3 linked regions of the Coturnix japonica genome follow. The protein of the gene in region 2 purifies or fractionates together with the protein of the main gene of each other region. This does not show direct contact. Links are inferred from orthologs where the notes say so. Each region holds a gene or a part of one and is shown on either strand. Other genes may lie near its edges.

The links.
Region 1: the proteins of CNOT10 (region 2) and TNKS1BP1 purify together in Homo sapiens (affinity purification with mass spectrometry; 4 studies listed by BioGRID and IntAct, with this or other methods). This does not show direct contact. The link is inferred for Coturnix japonica from reciprocal best matches to the Homo sapiens genes CNOT10 and TNKS1BP1.
Region 3: the proteins of CNOT10 (region 2) and CAPZB purify together in Homo sapiens (co-immunoprecipitation; 3 studies listed by BioGRID and IntAct, with this or other methods). This does not show direct contact. The link is inferred for Coturnix japonica from reciprocal best matches to the Homo sapiens genes CNOT10 and CAPZB.

The regions. Positions count from the first base shown.
Region 1 is NC_029520.1:7,745,109-7,751,271, reverse strand, and holds the start of TNKS1BP1 (182 kDa tankyrase-1-binding protein), read left to right. Parts: upstream 1-2,398; 5' UTR 2,399-2,957; exon of another isoform or gene 2,958-3,002; intron 3,003-3,307; exon of another isoform or gene 3,308-3,413; intron 3,414-3,671; 5' UTR 3,672-3,777; intron 3,778-4,281; 5' UTR 4,282-4,328; coding exon 4,329-4,413; intron 4,414-4,523; coding exon 4,524-5,163; intron 5,164-5,927; coding exon 5,928-6,003; intron 6,004-6,163. Other genes in the region: FACT complex subunit SSRP1, read left to right, coding at 98-221, 741-911, 1,186-1,277, 1,455-1,638, 1,833-1,901.
Region 2 is NC_029517.1:37,322,930-37,328,412, forward strand, and holds part of CNOT10 (CCR4-NOT transcription complex subunit 10), read left to right. Parts: intron 1-251; coding exon 252-343; intron 344-1,124; coding exon 1,125-1,286; intron 1,287-1,528; coding exon 1,529-1,679; intron 1,680-2,445; coding exon 2,446-2,591; intron 2,592-3,497; coding exon 3,498-3,584; intron 3,585-4,282; coding exon 4,283-4,366; intron 4,367-5,281; coding exon 5,282-5,399; intron 5,400-5,483. UniProt on the Homo sapiens protein: Component of the CCR4-NOT complex which is one of the major cellular mRNA deadenylases and is linked to various cellular processes including bulk mRNA degradation, miRNA-mediated repression, translational repression during translational initiation and general transcription regulation.
Region 3 is NC_029536.1:4,121,883-4,128,159, reverse strand, and holds the start of CAPZB (F-actin-capping protein subunit beta), read left to right. Parts: upstream 1-2,763; 5' UTR 2,764-2,894; coding exon 2,895-2,897; intron 2,898-6,277. UniProt on the Homo sapiens protein: F-actin-capping proteins bind in a Ca(2+)-independent manner to the fast growing ends of actin filaments (barbed end) thereby blocking the exchange of subunits at these ends.

The sequences.
Region 1 (6,163 bases), on a different chromosome or scaffold from region 2:
CTCTGTGCTTGCCACTGCTACGACTCCCTTACCTCCTGCTTCATCTTGCTGGAGTTGAGATCTTGAGCTTTCCCTGAAACCAGGTCTCTTCACACAGGTTTGACAGCAATGCCTCAGCCAGCTCCTCCAGTGGGGATGGTGACAGTGACCGAGGTGAGAAGAAGCCAGCCAAGAAGGCCAAGATTGTCAAAGACCGCAAGCCCCGTAAGAAGCATATGGAGGTGAGAAGTTGTTGCTGGTAGAGTTGTGTAGATCAGGACTCACTGCCCTTGGAACATGGATTGCTGCTCCTATGTTTGGAGCAACACCAGATCCAGGTCACAGCACATCAGCTGAGCTGCTTCCCGTTAGCCTTCTGCTGTGGTCTGATCCAATCCCACCACCTCATTGTGCTTTGCTGGGTTTGGGTTGTCCAAGCCTGGCTCTTCTGCTTCCTGCAGGCTTTACTTCATCTTGCAGATGAGTCTAGATTGAAACACTTACAAAGTATATTGTGGTGTCTGAGCCTGGCAGTACCCTCTGATTGTTGGAGGACTTGCCCCCCACAGGTCCTTCACATCCACTCCACTTACTCTGTGGGTGCTTTCACCTTTGTGTGTGTGTGAGCTGACAACTCATCTGTCTGATTAAGTAGCTGAGTTACGGGTGGGATGCAGGAGGCATCATCTTGGGGTAACCAATTAAGACTTTAGTGTGTGGGGTATTTCAAGTCTTGGTTCTTTCCACTTCCTGCTTTCCAGAGCAAGAAAGGCAAAGACCCCAACGCGCCCAAGAGACCCATGTCAGCTTACATGCTTTGGTTGAATGCCAACCGTGAGAAGATCAAGTCAGACCATCCTGGTATCAGCATCACAGACTTGTCCAAGAAGGCTGGGGAGCTCTGGAAAGCCATGTCTAAGGAGAAGAAAGAGGTGGGTTGCTCTTCCAGTGTGGATTGCTAAGCCGTATGTAGGAAGGGAAGGTGGATGTCAGGATGCTCTTGCTTGGTCTCGGGATCCTGCTGCTCCATTAACGGATCAGGAAGGGAGGGTGGCAGTGGGGAGCTGACATCTCAGCTGGTGTGTGAGTAAGGTCTCCAGGTGGTCAGGGACATGGGTGGAGATCGTGTTGGACTCTGGTGGTGCAGATGCTCATGATGGTGGATGGTGTGGGAACAAAGTGCCACTTAACCTGCTTTTGCTGCAGGAATGGGATCGCAAGGCAGAAGATGCCAAGAGGGATTATGAGAAGGCCATGAAAGAGTACAGCGTGGGCAATAAGTCAGAGAGCTCCAAGATGTGAGTATGCTGAGCAGACAAGAGGGATGTGGCAGGGCTTCACTGTTCTGGAATCTGTCTGTCCTCAGCTGCTGTGGTGGCTGGGCCTCTCTGAGGCTGGGGGATTGTGAGATGGGACCAGTGAGCTGTCAGCAAGGTAATGCTTCTGTCTCTTCCACCCTGCCAACACACACACAGGGAGAGGTCTAAAAAGAAGAAGAAGAAGCAGGAGAAACAGATGAAGGGGAAAGGGGAGAAGAAGGGTGCTGCCTCCAAGTCTTCGTCCTCCACCAAGAGTTCTGCCAAGAGTATGAGTGAGAGCTTCAAGAGCAAGGAATTTGTCTCCAGCGACGAGAGCTCCTCTGCAGAGAGCAAGAAGGAGGTAGTAGGGCGGTTTGGTGGTGGGATTTGCTGGGTCTTATTTTACCTCATCCCTACAGGCATATATTCTTCCAGATAGCATGTACATCCAGTCTTGTAGCAGAGGACTGAGTTTGGTCTTTGCTATTGGCAGAGGAGCAGGTGAACATGAGCTGCTCTGCTTCTACTGTCCTGACTTCCCATTTCTTCCCACAGGACTCAGAGGATGAGAGAGGCGCCAGCCCGGCCCAAAGCTCAGAGGATTCCGGATCCGGCTCGGATTAGTTCTGTCCCCGCTGGCTCCAGGCTGGTTCCCAGATCAGCGTGAGGACTGGGTGGGCCGGCCCGCAGGAGGGGTCTGGCTCTTGGGCTCTGGCTGGCTCCGAACCTGCCTGGCCGCCCTTCCTCCTACCTCTGCTGCCAGGTGAGGGGAGGCACCGGAGTGGGGACAGGAGGGTGCCCAGCTTCACTGCTTGAGCCCTTTCCCCTCAGTGCCTGGCTACAGAGTGAAGCCCCACAGAGGGGAGGCCCAGGAAGGAGCCTCGATCCCACTTCTGCCCTGTTTCTCATCAATTTATTTTTTTTAAATACTCGGGTTTGTTTCGGTCTCTTATTTTTTTCCTTTTTGTATGTTGGGTCAGTTCACATGGCAACTCGAATTGAATAAAAAACACCCGCGGCGGGACTGCAGTGTGGGTGTGGAGGTGGGGGTGGGCCGGGCTCCTCTTCCCCAGGGGCACACGGTGCTGGGATGCCTTCCTTCTAACATCGCCTTTCTCCCGGCATCGCCTCGGCCTCCTTGAACCGCAGCCAGGGGCTGAGCTCACTCACAGCCCATCCATTAGCAGCCGGAGCCCCTTCCTGCGGCCTCCCTAATCCTGTTAGTCTCCATCAGCCTCCTAATGGAGGGCCGGCGGTCGATCCCGATGCCGTGCGGATGTTCTCTGTGCCCTGGAGGGCCGCACCGTGCCTGGGGGTGGTGGTGGTGATAGTCATTTCATCAGCGTTCCTGCTTGACCCCGGCATGGCGGCCTGGCTGCGAGTCAAAGGCTGCAGGGGAACGGGCTCGGGGAGACGGGGCTCGGCCTGGCCGCCCCCTCTGTAGGTCACAGCCGGTTTGTGGGGCCGCCGCACCCCGGGGTTCCCCTCTACCGCCCTCTCACACTCAGGCCCCGCACAGCCCGTGCTCTATGGCCGCTGGAGGTGCCACGCGGCGCCGCTCTAGTTCTCCGCTCTCTCTGCTCGGCCACGTGGGGTGGGCGCGGCCCGAGTGGGGGCGCGGTGGGTGGGGAGGGGGCGAGGCCATCGCTCATGAATATGCAGCGGCGGCGGCGGCGGCGGGTGAGCGCGGGCAGGGCGAGGGGTCACGGCGGGAGCGCGGCGTGGGTACGGTACCGGAACGGGGGAGGGGCGGCGGGCAGCTGGGTGGGGTTATCTGGGCACGAGGGTGGCGATGGGGTCGGGGTCCTTGAGGCCGTTCAGCCCGTCGTGCCCGGCGGGGCCGAGGCTCGGGCTGCGAAGGACACAACGGGCCGCCCGGCCCTTCGTGCGGCCCCTCCTCGCCGATGGAGCGGGGGGCTCCGTTTCCATGGCGGCGCTCCCGGGCCCGCCCGGCCACTCGAGCGGGGGCTGCGTTACCGTGACAACGCGGGCAGGCCCCGGAGGATGGGAGGGGGGAGGGGGCACCCCTGTCTCCCTTCCCCCTTCCAGCCCCGTTCCACACCTCCCCCCCCCGCCCCGCTTCCCTTCGCCTCGTCACCGAGCGGGGCCTCGTCAGCATCCCGGGGCTGCCAAGGGGTTGGGAAACAGCCTCGGCGGGGGGAGGAGGGGCGGGAGGGGGGGGACGATGGCTTCCAGATGTGCCCCCTCCGGTTCCGTTTGGCCGGGGTGGGGGGAGCCCGAAGAGAGAAGGGGCCCGAGGGGAGAGGGGGGGGGAAAGGGGGGACCCCGCATCGCGAGTGGGAAGGAGGGAGCGGGGAGGAGGCGAGGGGAAGGCAGGGCAGGGCAGGGCCGCGAGGAGGAGGAGGCACGAGCGAGTTTTTCCTGTCCCCGCAGCGCCAGTGAGTCACGGGGAGCCGTGCGGCCACGCCAAACCGGGCCTGGGCATCGCGGCCCGCTCCCCTCCAGCCCCAGACCCGGCCATGAGGCGACCGAGGGGCAGGTGAGGGGGGGGCGACCCTATAGGGCCCGACGGGGCTGGGGATCGGGACGTGGGAGCGGTATGGGCTGACGTGGTGTGCGGAGCACTTCCGTGAGGGAACGGGCAGCGGGTGGGGGGGCTGCCCCAGGTGTAGGATGGGGGGTCGGTGCGGGTGGACGAGGGGCTGGCACCGCACACAGAAGGCAGCCCAGGTGAACAGGGCTGGGGTGCACATATTTACTGAGGTGTGCAAGGGACTGGCACGGTGTGCTCTATGGTTGGGTGCTGCCGGCGGGTTGGGGCAGTGTACAAAGGGTGGTACGGCCGAACGGAGGCTTGGCGGTGAGATAGTGGGTTGGCACGGTGTGCTGCACTGGTATAAGAGAGTGGGAAGCCAGCAGCACAATGCAACATGCTGCAGGTACAGCAGGGACCGGGGGCACCAGGGTGAATGGGGCAGCAGGCCCCAGTGGACAGGGTGGACTAAGGTTCTTCCGTGACGTTTCTCCCCTCTCTCTTCTGCAGGGGCTGACTGCACGCTGAGTCTGCTGAGCATTAGCTCCGGCTTCACCATGGCCTCCCAGCCCCAGTCCCTGCACCCCCCACTGCCCTGTGCCTCCGGGGGGACCGGACTGGCGGCTGGCAGCTCTGAGAAAGGTGAGAATCTCCCTGAATGGCTTATATGTGTTTTTAACCCAGAGTGAGATGTCTGCAGGTGTTGTTGTGTTCTCCAACTCCCCATGTTTCTCCTCGTCTTTCTCCCACAGGCAGTCCTCGCCCCAAGCCTCCTGTCCGGCCCAAGCCCCGTGTGCTGCCCAAGCCAGCCGTGCCTGCCAAACCCTGCCTGCCTCACCCCCCACCAGCACCACGGCATTCTCGTCCTGAGCTGCCCTCCGCAGAGAAGATAAACCGCCTGGCAGGCCCCCAGCCGTACAGTGGGGGTGGCTCTGGGGTGGCCCTCAGACGCCCCTCTTTCACCATCAAGTCACCTGAGACCCTCAACGGGAAGGGGCTCCCATCCCCACCAGTTTTCACTCCTGAGGACTCGTGTTCAACCCCCAGTGATGAGGTGCCCCCGGCCCCATCGACGCCTTCCCGCAAAGGTCCAGCTCCCTTTAAGGTGACACCAGTGCCTGTGGCAACCAAGCTGGAGCGATTTCCAGGCACCACCGTGGAGGAGATTCTGGCCAAAATGGACAGCAAGGAGGGAAGCCCTGACCGGGCCCGCATCTCTCCCTTTTGCTCCGATTCTTCTTCTCGCTTTGGCTCCAAGATCTTCACCGCCTTCCGGAGACGCCCTAGTGGGGAGGCAGATGGAGACTCCCCTGGTGAAGCCCGCCAGCTGCTCCAGCAGGCTGAGGGAGAGCTGGGGACAGGGGGTGACAGATGCCCGATGGTTGAGATGAGGTGAGGGGCAGAGGATCGGTCCCAGGGACAGGGAACCATGGGGAAAGCATCGGTGGGCAGTTAGAGATGGAACTAAATGGAGCTGGAAGGGACCTGAGGTCTGGTCGCCAGTACAAGGCTGTTGTTCCTCCTAACCAACAGTGCCTTGAGCCGCCTTCGTGGGAAGGCTTGGTCACCCGCGACAACTCTGGTGGTTTATTAAAACCACAAGAATGGGCCGGCCCAGCTGAGGAACTGCCTCCACGCTTGCAGCCATCTGGGACTGGAACCTTGCCAGACAGCACTCCGCTGCCCAAGCAGGGAATAACGGGGGGTTACTGCCCCTGGGAAATGTTCCCCCTTTTCTCCACTCTATTTTTTTTCCTGCTAGTTCATGCTAGAGCAGAGAGGCCTCAGATCTGTGGGACTCCTGGCTGCAGGAGGGGCTGGTTGGAAGCCAGCACTTGGCTGTGCTCCCTAAAGCCGGGCACCTCTGGGAGCAGGGCAGGGGCTATTTTAAACCAGAGTGTGAGAAACTTGCACTCCAAAGGATGAAAAACTTTCCAGAAAAGGGGTTGTAGCTGAATTGCCTTTGCAATCCTAACCTACCCTGATAATTCAGGGCATGTTTCCAGTGCCCCTTACAGAGAGTTAAGGGTTGGTTGTGGTCCTCGTCCACATCCTTCTGTGGCCAGAGCCGGATGGTTTGGGGTTGGGAGGTGTGTGCTTGTGGGAGGAAAAATGGGTTGCACGCCATATTTACCCCCCTACCTGTTTTTCTCCAGCAGCATCTCCTCCCCAGCTGGCGCGAGCTGTGCCGGGGACCCCTGTGGACTCTGGAGGCCACCATCTCCCCCTGACGTGAGTTCTCGCCGCACCCTCCTGCGTCGCGGCCACTCCACTCCTGGGCTCTCTCCTTCGGGGCTCTCCTGTCTCCTCCGGGGCTCCCTCTCTGCGGGGTGCGTGTCTCTCCTTTCTCCTTTGGGTGCCAACTGCTCTGGGGAAGGCAGGTGACTCCACT
Region 2 (5,483 bases):
TTGCAAAGAAATTGAAGACAATTAAAACCATGTTAGATTACTGTACAACTGCTCAAACCATCACAAATAAAACCTTACATGCTGGACTGGTCTTCATCTAGAAGGGAACATAGCAAAACTATAGTTGCAGCATTTTCTTAATGCTGTTCCCTACAAGCTGGCAGGAGGATCCTGAGAACGGGCACAAACAATGTTTTTTGAGCTGAATTACTTCTGTTGTGTTTACAAACTTTTCTATCATCCTTTGTCAGACCAAGGTGCTGAGAAGCACGATGGAGCTGGTACTTCAGGAATCACTGATCAGGAGAAGGAGTTGTCGAGCAGTGCATTACAAGCTTTTCTGGTAAGACACAGCCAAGCCCAAGCTTCTCTTCTACCACATAACTGCTAAACTGGTTGATAGAATTTTTTGTTCCCCAGTTTTCTTAGCATGGCGGAGAATGTATTAGCAAGTTATTATACTAAAATCAATGCTTGTATTACAAAGCCAGTGCGTACATTTCCATAGAATCATAGAATCGTATCATAGAATGGCTTGGGTTGGATGGCACCTCAAGGTGAGCATAATATTCTTGAATAATTCATTCAGCAACATAAATTAAGGCTCTCTTGGGAAAGTTAGGAAAGGTGTGTAACCTTCCTCTTCTGCCGGCCTGTGTTAAGCAGACATCCAGGGGCTAAACTGGAACTCAGTCTGAAGATGAAGTGAGAGACAAACATAAAAAGGTGGGCCACGAGTTAGACAGGCAGCTGCTCAGTGTACGTGTGATGGAGACAGATTGTGGAAACTGAGGAAATAAAGAATCTTGAAGCTTGATATAATGACGCCAAAAGAACAACAGTTTTTGTAGAAACATGTTTGTAATAGTTAACTGTTCTATTTGTTCTTTCTCCATTGAATTCTTGTTCAGTTTTAGTTAGGACCTCAGCTTTGACTTGCTTCTCATACATTTCAGTCTGCATGACAAATGGAGTTGGTGTGGAGCTGTTTACTTGTGTTGGTCAGGGAAATCCTACATTGCTCTCTAGACTCAGAGAGAGGAGGAGGCTGCCATTAAAAATTATTGACTTATTAGAGGATACAAAGTTTAAACTAATCCCTTTGTGATGCCTGCTGTTTCCAGGCGGGAAATTATGATGCCTGTTTGCAACACCTGAACACCCTTCAAGACATAAACAAAGATGACTACAAAATAACTTTGAATACTGCAGTTGCAGAGTTTTGTAAAAGTAACCAGACCACAACAGACAATTTGAGACAAACCCTGAACCAGCTGAAGAACCAGGTAATGCAACCACTGCATGATATTTAAGCATTGTTAATGGGGATGGGATCTTCCAGTGAAATAGGAAGACAAGTTTTGCCTCTTCCCTTTGTTAACTTGTAACTGTTACTGCCCTATCTTTAGGCTCATTAGTACCTTTGGATTATTTTTCTATAATAAACATTTGATGCTTTAACATCATAAGTTTGGAAAGCTTAAGGATAAACAAGATTCAGTTCTGTGTGTTTTGGGTTTTTTTTCAGGTTCACTCTGCTGTTGAAGAAATGGATGGTTTAGATGATGTTGAAAATAGTATGCTTTACTACAATCAAGCTGTTATTTTGTATCATCTGCGTCAGTATACTGAAGCTATATCAGTTGGAGAGAAGCTGTACCAGTTTATAGAGCCTTTCGGTGTGTAGGCAGAAGAGTTTTGTTTGTGCAGTAACGAGGCAGAGTAAATGATCTTCCTCTGCTTATCAGAAAAGTGACTTGTAAACGTACATAATAGTAATAAAAAAAAGACAGGCTTAGGAATGATGAGTAATCTTTACTTATAAGGACAGCATTTGAATTTGGGTGGGAAGGTGCTTCAGAGACACTTAGCAGATGAGTATAACAAAACTAAAACAGATATTTGACAACTTCAGGAGGTATTTTATGAAGCAACAGGGATGAAGTGTTTGTATGTGTGGGTCTCAACAAATCCAGTAAGTATAATGCTGTTTCTCCCTCAGTTCTCAGTATGCCTGTGTGGAGCTTACTCTGTGAAACCAGCCATGCAGAGATGTGTTTGTATGGAATCCTTAAGTTCTGTAAGATTCTGTATAGGCTTATGGCCCATCAGTCTCTTTAGACGCTGGATCCTTGGTGCCAGTGTGCTTAGATCAGTACTCAAAATCAATGTGAAGTGATTTTTAAGCTGTCTTTGGTCTTTGCTTTCAGATGACATGGGTATGAAAGAATTACCTCTTTGTGTTAACATACTTGTCTGTGTGATGTAGGTGTCTGCTTTTTTATCTTTTTTTCTTATTTAGTATTTGGTTTTTCTCATAACATTGTGTAGATGCACTTTGCAGCTGTTAAAGTGGTTTTCTAATTATTGCTTTTTTTGTTCTGTGATTGTTTAGATAGGAAGGATCTTACAGTCCTAATACTGATCTACTTTTGTTTGATATAGAGGAGAAGTTTGCCCAGGCTGTGTGCTTCCTGCTTGTGGACTTATACCTGCTGACTTACCAGGCTGAGAAGGCCTTGCATCTCCTTGCTGTCCTGGAAAAAATGATTTCACAGGGCAACAATAACAGCAAGAATGGAAAAAATGAGGTAAGCTTAAAATGGCATGAATGCCGCTGTCTTTACCAAAGGTATGTTTTTATTAAATCCAAAAGTAGTCTTTTAAAATAGTTCAGAATTTTAAAGCTGTTAAGATATCTGTAACTTCAGACAACTGCCACATTTTAATAACCAAGTTAATTGTGTACAGTAGCTGTATGTTCTTTCCTTCCCACCCTTTTTGTGCCAAGAGCTAAGAAGTGTCCCAAGTCAGAGACTTATATTAGAAAGTCAGTTGTCTTCAGTGCCAAATATACTTGGTTTTCCTGGTGTCCCAGATGACGACTGTGTGATACTCTGTGTTTGAAATGTCAGTGAAATTAGTGCCACAGGGTGAGAAGTCAAAAATTCCTTTAATGTATTGTCTGGAAGTATGAGGTGGGCTTTCAAATGCAATCTTTGATATGTACCTTTTGGAAACTACTATAGAATGGGTAGTGGCTTGGAAGTGGAAAGTGGACACTTTTGTCTTCTCCTGTTGATAAAATGTCACACTTAAGATACAACTTTATTTTTGAGTATATAATAGTTCTGCCAGAGAAAATATGGAGAAGAGAATCAGGAGCATGCAAACTATATTTCTGAATAAGAGCATTCTTAGAATTCCTCAATGCTGGAGCAGATTAGCGTAATGCTAACCTTCATATAGAGCTCTGTACCTCATAGGCTGATGTCCTCCTTCTTTGGTTTTGATTGCAAAGCTTAAGTTACAAGTTTTTGGTGGAATATATGGACATTTTTGTATTTGTTTGTTTTTCTTTTAACATTATTGAATATCAGTTTTCATCATTAAAAGAGATTGTTTTTACCAATCACCTTTTAAGTTCAGTTTACGGTTTCCTTCATAAGCTCCTAATGCTTTTTTATTTATTTCTGTTTTTTGTTTTCTTTTGACAGTCAGGTAATAATACAAATAAAGATTCCTCCAATCAAAAAGCTGAAAGTGGAGCTTTAATAGAAGCTGCTAAATCTAAAATACATCAGGTGGGTGTGTGTGTGATTTGTACAAGAATATCCATTCAGTCTTCCTTAAAACTGAGAGCTGCCTGCCTCAAATCTAGCTCAGCATGAATTGTGATATTGTCATCTTCAATTTCATTTTGTAGGTCAGAAAAATGAATTTAACTGACCCTTTTTTTTAAGATCCACGTACAGGAGAAACTGACCTAAGAAAAATCCCAGTTTCAATACCTACATCTTAACATAATTTTGTTAAATGGCATTTAGCTCTAATAATCTTACATTTGTTTGTCTGCAAGACAGTCTAAATCAGTGAGGTTTTATTTCCCAGTACTGCTCTTTGGGAAAATGAGTGAAGAAACAATATGCTTCACTATCACCTTTTGCTTATTGGTTGAACAGGTAACTGTCTGGGATTTACAGGTTAAATTATTTTAATTAATTTGTTGTTTTATGTGCTGATGTTTTGGTATTTGAATGTAAAGCTGTTGAATGTTTGCCAGTGAATAAAATGCACGTTTGCCTCTTGCAGATAGGAATTGTATAAATTTGTTGTTGATATTCTAAATAGAAATTCTTCCTTAGAAGAACCTTTTAAACAGACTTTCACTACCTATTTTACAATGTATATAGGAAATCTTATAATAAATCTCTAGGTATGGTCCATCTTGCAAACCTGCACAAGTTACTGTTTCTAATATAACAAATTTAATTTTAAACAGTATAAGGTGAGAGCCTATATCCAGATGAAGTCACTAAAAGCATGCAAAAGGGAGATCAAGTCTGTTATGAATACAGCTGGAAATGTAAGTATTCTTAAAGCTATTGTTTTTGTAATCTAGGTCTGTTCCCTATCTTAAAACTGGATTTGGTAACTTACTTTACAAGGAAAGGTCTTCCTGAGGATGGATGTCTGAAATAGTGCTGTGTACAATCAGTTGGGTTTGTAATCTCTTTTCTCTAAGTGTATTTGATGTAGGACTTTGAATTGCTCGAAAGGTTGCACTTTGTTGTTAACAATTTAAAGTAATAGCAATGCAATGCTGTGTGCAATAGAGTGGTTAAGGGTGGCTTATAATTTGGGCAGGGCAAAGTAAGTTTTAGTTGGCCATTAATGCTCAGGGAAATAAAATTTTTGGATGTCATTACTGAGTAAAACCACTTGAGAAAGATTAATTTGGGAGTTTTCAGTATTTGGGGGGGTTTTGCGTGTTGTCTTTTTCGGGGTAGTTGTTGTAGTTTGTTGGAGGCTTATCTCTTACTAGAAAGCAGTTTCTTCTTTTGTGTTGGAGTTCTCAACTCAGAATTGTGTCTACCATACCATGTATATTCTGCATTAACTGAGGATCAGGGAGTAGGAGGAGAGCACTTGCCTTTTGTTGCCAGTCTCAACAGGTGCTGGTTTGACGGAAGTCTTTCTGGGTCGTGATGTGTCTTTTGGCAGGCCAGGAAAACCGCAGCTCAGGAGGAAGTTGTTGAGCTCCACAGGGAGGGAAGCATGGAGGGGAATGTATTAGGAGGCAGGTTGGAGAAAGATCCTCTTGAAACAAAAGGGAGATCCTCTGTACTTTGCCACTGCTGTGGCAGAGTTCTTTAGCACAGTATTTGGTTTTGAAGCAGAAACAAAACAAAAAACTAGTTCTGCTTTTCAGAAGCATTAGAAATGGTTTCTTAAAAAACAAAAAAAAACAGATAATTAACTATTGTTCTCTTCTTCACAGTCAGCTCCTTCTCTCTTTCTTAAGAGCAATTTTGAATATTTGAGAGGCAATTACCGTAAAGCAGTCAAACTTTTAAACAGTGCAAACATTGCTGAACATCCAGGCTTCATGAAAACAGGTAAAATAAAATAGAAAGCCTTCATCCTGCAAGTACTTACATATGTGGTACAAATAGGACTATTTGTACTACTATCGTTGATAC
Region 3 (6,277 bases), on a different chromosome or scaffold from region 2:
AAAGACTGAGCTGAGCTTTTGCTAACTCCCAGATTTTGGCTGTCTCCTTTGCAGGCATCAGCACTGTTACAACACGTCTTCATTTGATGCGTGCTACTTTGTCATCCATTTTTTAGTTGGATTGTTGAAAAACAACTGTTGCACTGTACTGATAGAGACTGTCTAATGATAATAATATAATAATCCTGCAGAAAGTTCTCCTTCTCAGCTCTCTAAGTACTTACTTTTCCTTCTGCCTCCTAGATTCTAACTAGTGAACCATGACTATTGTATTAAGGAGGAATCCAAGCCCTTATAACTCTTTTGGCTGGTATATTAGCACCCTTCCAATGAAGTGCAATGTATCAAGGAAGAAGTTAAGGAACAGAAAGGTTTGTTTCTTTCTGGTGCATTTAATCAGCTTCTCCTTGCTTCTCTTTTAATGACAGGCTGCAGACATTATTACTACAGCTAATGACCGAGATTGACAAGAATGTTCTCTATACTCTTTGCTCAGGCTATAGACAGTTCTGGGAGGTCTTTTCTATTGCACTTTCTACAGGTAAAATTGCAATCACAAGCACAGAAGTAAGCAGCATCCTCAGATACACAATGAAGAAGCTGTATGGGAAACTGCTAATCACAGCCTGAACCTCTGATTAATCAGCTGAGGCAAATAAGGTCAGCTGTGGGAGCACAGGTGAGAGTAATTTAGCTGTGCTCCTGGAAGGGGTGGAGCTCGACTCCACCTCCTCTAGACCTCATTTAAGGGCTGACCACCACTAAGGCAGCATCTCTTGGGGATTGCTGCCTGGTGGAGATTGCTTCAGTATTTCCTATTGAAGGCAACCATGTTGGTGAGTTTTCCTTATAAATAACAGTAAATTCAATTTATGACAACACCTAATAAAAAGTTTACATATCTTTCAAGTGCCTCAAGCTGGACTTGAAAGTAAATGTTCAATCTGACTGAACAAAAAAGAAAAAGAAGCCTAAGATGTCTATTTCTTTAGTGGATAAATGAGTATTCAGTGAGGCATTAAAGCTTTCTGTAGGACCTGGGTTCTAAGCTTGTTCTCATTTACTCTTTGGTCCTGGCTTAATGCTGGAATAAGGAAAATAAACAGTGTTTCACAACACGTGCAAGGAGGATAAAATAAAAAGCATATCATGTTTTAAGGAGTTCTGGCTAAACGTGACAGTGCTAAAAAAGAGTATTTATCCTTTTGTTTCTTTGAATATAATCAAAAGTACAGGGAGAGCATATGTATTTTATAGTCGCTGATGAAAAGATGGAAAGCTTTGTTATTAATTACACGTGAATCTGATGTTGTAGAGCTGTTAAGCCACCAAGTAACATAATTGTTTGCTTCCTTTGCTTACAGGCCCTCGTTCTAAGATGCATAATTCCTGCTGCTGAGCCTTTTGAGTGCACTCCTGGCTGTAGGTGAATGACTCCATGCTGGGAGCTGTGGGACATGCCTGGAGTTCAACTCACAGCACCCAGATCTACTGAATATCTCCCACTCAGAGCCTGAATTAACTTTGTTTTATATCAGCCCCTCCAAGAGCTACAACAGAAGGTAGGATGGCCAGAACTGTAGCTCCACGCAGGGAGCTTTCAACCAGCTGAGATCTCCACGCTGCAAATTGCAGCTTGCCAGGAAGAGCTTGCTCCTACATCTTCATAAACAAACAAAAGCATTCCCTGCTATAAACAAGCAAAGCAAGCAGCTGGTCCTCATTGGAAAAGACGTTACATCCATTTCACAAAGGAATCCGCAGATCTTCTTCTTCATGCAAATATTTTGGGGCAAACAAAAAGCAGCTGTTTCTGTTGCTTTATACCTATTAGCAGGGAAACAAAATCCAGGATGCTTGTATTTCTTGTAAGGAAAACATCCTCTTGGCATCGATGTTCGTTCAGATCTCAAACTGTTTAACACAGGCTGCATGAATCTGCTTTTGCTTTGTGTTCAGCAAGAGGGTAGAAACCTTTTTTGCTCATTAAGACCTAAAAGCAAAACAGCCGTTGAGGAGCTTGCATGGGTTTATAACAAAGGTTGTGAAGTTTAGAATGTATGTTTTATCTGCTCTGTGCTCCCAGCTCATGTTAATGTGCGGAACGCTGTTAAAGAAAGGAATAATGTATTGGAGTGATGAAGGCAGCCTTTAATTACTGCTGGTAGGGACCTCTGGAAGGATTGAGGGCTGGATAATAGAAGGTGCTTGTATTGCTTGAGCTGGCATCTCTTGGAAGGTTCTGCCTGGTATCTGAGAGCTACTAAAACTGAACTAAAACCCATCTGTGATAATGGCTGAGTGGAAAATAAGAGCTTGGCCTTGGATGTCACCCGCCGGGTGGATGTACCACAAAATGTCACCTCCCAGGAAAAAATGAAGCCGTTCCCTTAGAGAACGCATCAGTTCTATTACAAATGCACACAGTAATGCCGTGCTTTCACAGCATTGCATCACAGCAGGAAGCGATACATGACTGCCCTTAACAGCATTTCCAGTTTCTACAGCAAACCAAGGAAAGCAAAGTACAACCACCACCACAGCGGCGCGCCGGCGCGCTCCGGTAGGCTCCGCCCCCTGCACCTGATTGGCTGCACTTCTTCCGGTCTCCCCCCATTGGCTGCTTGGCGCTGCTCCCCCCGCCCCTCCCGCGCTTCTCTCCCGCCCCGTCCGCGCGCAGCGCTCCATACTTGGCGATGGCCGGCGAGCCGCGCTCTGATTGGTTGAGCTGTGAGGTGAGGGCGGGGCCGGCGGGGCGATGACCCGGATGTTCACTCCTAGGCAACGGCGGAAGTGGAAGGGCCGCGGCCTGCCTCGGAACGAGGGAGAGCGGAGCGGAGCGGACCGGGAGGCGCCGCCGTTGCCACCGCCCAGCGCAGCCCCGCCGAGCCGCCATGGTGAGCACCGTGCGGGATCCGCCGCTTCCAGCCCCGCAGCTGGGCCCTATCGCTTCCTTTTCCCTCCCACGGGGCGGCGGTGAGGGAGGCCCCGGCTGCGGCCTGCACCGGGGGGAGGCGGTGGGGGCAGGGCCCGCGGGGGGCGGTGGGGCAGGGCCTGGGGTAACGCAGGGTCTGGCGGCTCGAACGGAGCCGGGACTGGCGGCCGGAGCGCTGCCTCCAGCCCCGCGTCGCACCGCAGCTGTGCGGAACCAGGAACCGGCGGCGTGCGGGGCGGCCGAGCCTGCCCGGGCAGACACCGCTGCGGTGTGTGCGGCTCACACGATGAGGGTTGGAGTGTCTGGCTTCTGCAGCCGTGTAGCGCAGCCTGGCCGCGATGTGCTGGGGGGTGAGTGCACACAGAATGACCCGGGTTGGAAGGGTCCTCAAGGATCATGTAGTTCCAACCCCCCTGCCTGGCAGGGCCACCAAACATACACCTTTACTAGATCAGGTTGCCCAGGGCCCCGTCCAACCTGGTCTTGAACACCTCCAAGGACGGGGCATCCACAACCTCCCTGGGCAGCCTGTTCCAGGGCCTAACCACTCTCCTAGTGAAGAACTTCCCCCTAACATCCAACCTAAATCTTCCCTCTTTTAACTCAAGTTCACCCAAGGGACAAAACCTTCGGTTTCCCTTTGGTGCTGTGCGTGGAGGGGGTGCAGCCCCTGGGGTCTCATCTCCTATGGGCTCACCCAGCACCTAAGGGTGGAGATGTCTTGCTGTGCCCAGCCTGCCTGGCGGGGTGCCCACTGAGCCCCTGTAATACAGCGTACCTGGAGGGCTGTAATTGCTCCAGTGCTTGGTACTGCTCAGGAATTTGTGGTTTGATGTTTTTTAGGACTGTTCAAATATAGTTAGGTTCAAAATGTACCTGGTTACATGTAAAGACTGGTTTAGTAATCAATCCTTTGCTTCAACTGTAAGAATTTCAGAGGCAATATCTTATCCTTTCCTCTGGAGGCTGAAGGTCCTGGTGGTCCCAATGCTTATATGGCACAGGATGAAGATGTTTGATTTCTAGTGGAAGGTGAAGAAAGCTTATGATCAAGATTCTGTGCCTGTTGGAACAAAGCTGTGCTTGGCACCCAAGCGTGGGATTGGCGTGATGGAGCATCTAACTTCACATGTGAATGTTAGACCAAGAGCCCTGGCTGAAGTCTTTGTACACAAGACCTGCTGCAGGATTTATTAGACAGGAGGCCAACCAACTGTCCTAACTTAAAAATCCTCACAGAGAAAGAACTGAAGGAAAACAAGCAGGCTTCATGTAAAACGACAGTGGTGTTACCTGCTGCTTTTAAGGGAATGCAGAAGTATGCTGTAAGAATGATTCAGTTGAGGTGTGTGACTTCGTTACTCCTTAGGGGAGATAGAGCACAAGCCCTTTAGGAGTTTTTTGAGTGCTGTAAGCTTTTGCTGTCTTCTGATTTCTCATGTTTAGTCATGGAAAGCATTGGGTACAGGAGAAACCTGACCAGGATCTCCAGTACTGTGCTAGGCTCAGCTGTTGGGTGGACTTCAGGTAGGAACCTGTGGCAGCTGCCCCGTTATTTGTGTGTTGTGGTGGCTGTGTACACACCCGAAGGTTTGTTCACTGAGTGGGGCAAGTGGAGTGTGGTTTATGCAGGCCTACTGCAAGAAAGGTCACTGGGCTTGGTTACAGGAGACAAATGAGCTGTGGTGATGTGTTAATAAAGCCTTGCTCTTAGAATCAGCATTATGCAGACAATGCAATTCTGGCACCCAGTTTCAACTTTAGTTCCCTTCTGGTTTTTAGAGTATCCCCAGGATCTATTGCTTTTGTAGACAATACTCAAATGTAGCATGAAGGAACTAAAATAGGTCTGGCACTGACAGCTGCTGTTTTATGTGGTTCATACCAAAGCAATGTAAGATTTGTGAAACTAAACACTTTTTCATCTCCCTGAATTCTGAGTCTCTGATTGTGATTGTGTCACTCTTGAAACTCATGGCATCAGCTCAGGGAAAGTTTTCAGTGCCCACAGCACATCCTTTAGTCCTTGTACCATCTAAGAAATCCTCGTTCGTGTTATTTTGTAGAGTCCATGTTTTGTTAGCCACGTATGTGAGCTTAGATAAATGCTGTCTTAAAAGCCAAGTTCTCCAAGTAAATCAAATTGGCGGGTATTGCTGGGATAGGGAATACTGTCATTGCAGTGATGATAAATCTTTGGCTTGAGAATATTTGAACCACAAGATCTTCAGATGGGATTTCCTCATATGGTAAATATATGTGCTGATATCTTATTAGTTAACATCTGGGAATAAACCGGAATGAAAGCACAGTTTAACTCTTTTGAATTACTATTTTTAGTGCTTATTACATTAGTAGCTCAATGATTCTCTTTGGGAAAGATATGTTCTGCATTAATCAGCTGGACTTCTCTGTTGAGTTTCCCATGCAAAGGATGGCTGATGAGCTGCAGGCTGTGCATGGAGCGTTCTCCTGCCTGCCCTTTGGAGGTATGTTTGGTCACATCCAAATGGTTCCTCACTCTAATTCACACTGTAGAGCTGTCACTCAGACACTGTGCATTGTAATTTCTTTCCAATTGATTTATGTAAGGAGCTCTGAAGAGTTTGCAGTGCCCCTCCAAACCTTTGTCTCTCTTCCCCTGGTGCACAGGGTCCAAAGCAATTGCCTCCAATGTGCCCATTTTTCCTGATCCTTTGCCATTTCCAGCAAGGAAGAGGGAAAATTGCACTTAAAACCATGTGTGTGAAGGAGCAATGAATGTCTGGGCTTTATAAACCTTTTCCCACCTCCCTGGTCCATCTAGCTGTGCTGTGATGCAGGGTTTGCTTGCTGGTAGGTTATGTTTGTTTATTTATTACAAAGCTTTTCTAACTTGAACAGGAATTCAAGACTGAATGCTGGTCAAGCAGGTTTTAAAGATGTCTCCCTGCTGTTTGAGCTGAGAGGTTTTATTATGAGGAGAAAATGGAGAATGCTTGAGGAAGCTGCTCTGCTTGTTTCCTAATTATAAAGTTGTAATTTTCCGCAATGGATGCTGTCGGGGTAGTGCCAAATGGAGTGGCAACACAATCCTTCTGGCCGTTTAGATGGAATAAATCTCCTAAGTTCAAGAATCAGAAATAGGATCTGTTTCCTATCTGTGGTTGTCTAAAATAGGCTTTTATTTAGAATTACTTTAATTGCATTAGGTAATACCTGGTGCTTGGTTTCCTAGAATGGTGGTATCAAAGCATCAGACTTCCTTGTATTATTTGGTTCTCTTCTTTGGCCCCACTCTCCTTTAGGATTTAGAGTGGAAGTGTGCAGTGTGCTGTGAGCTTGTGCTCTATGTGCTGCCTC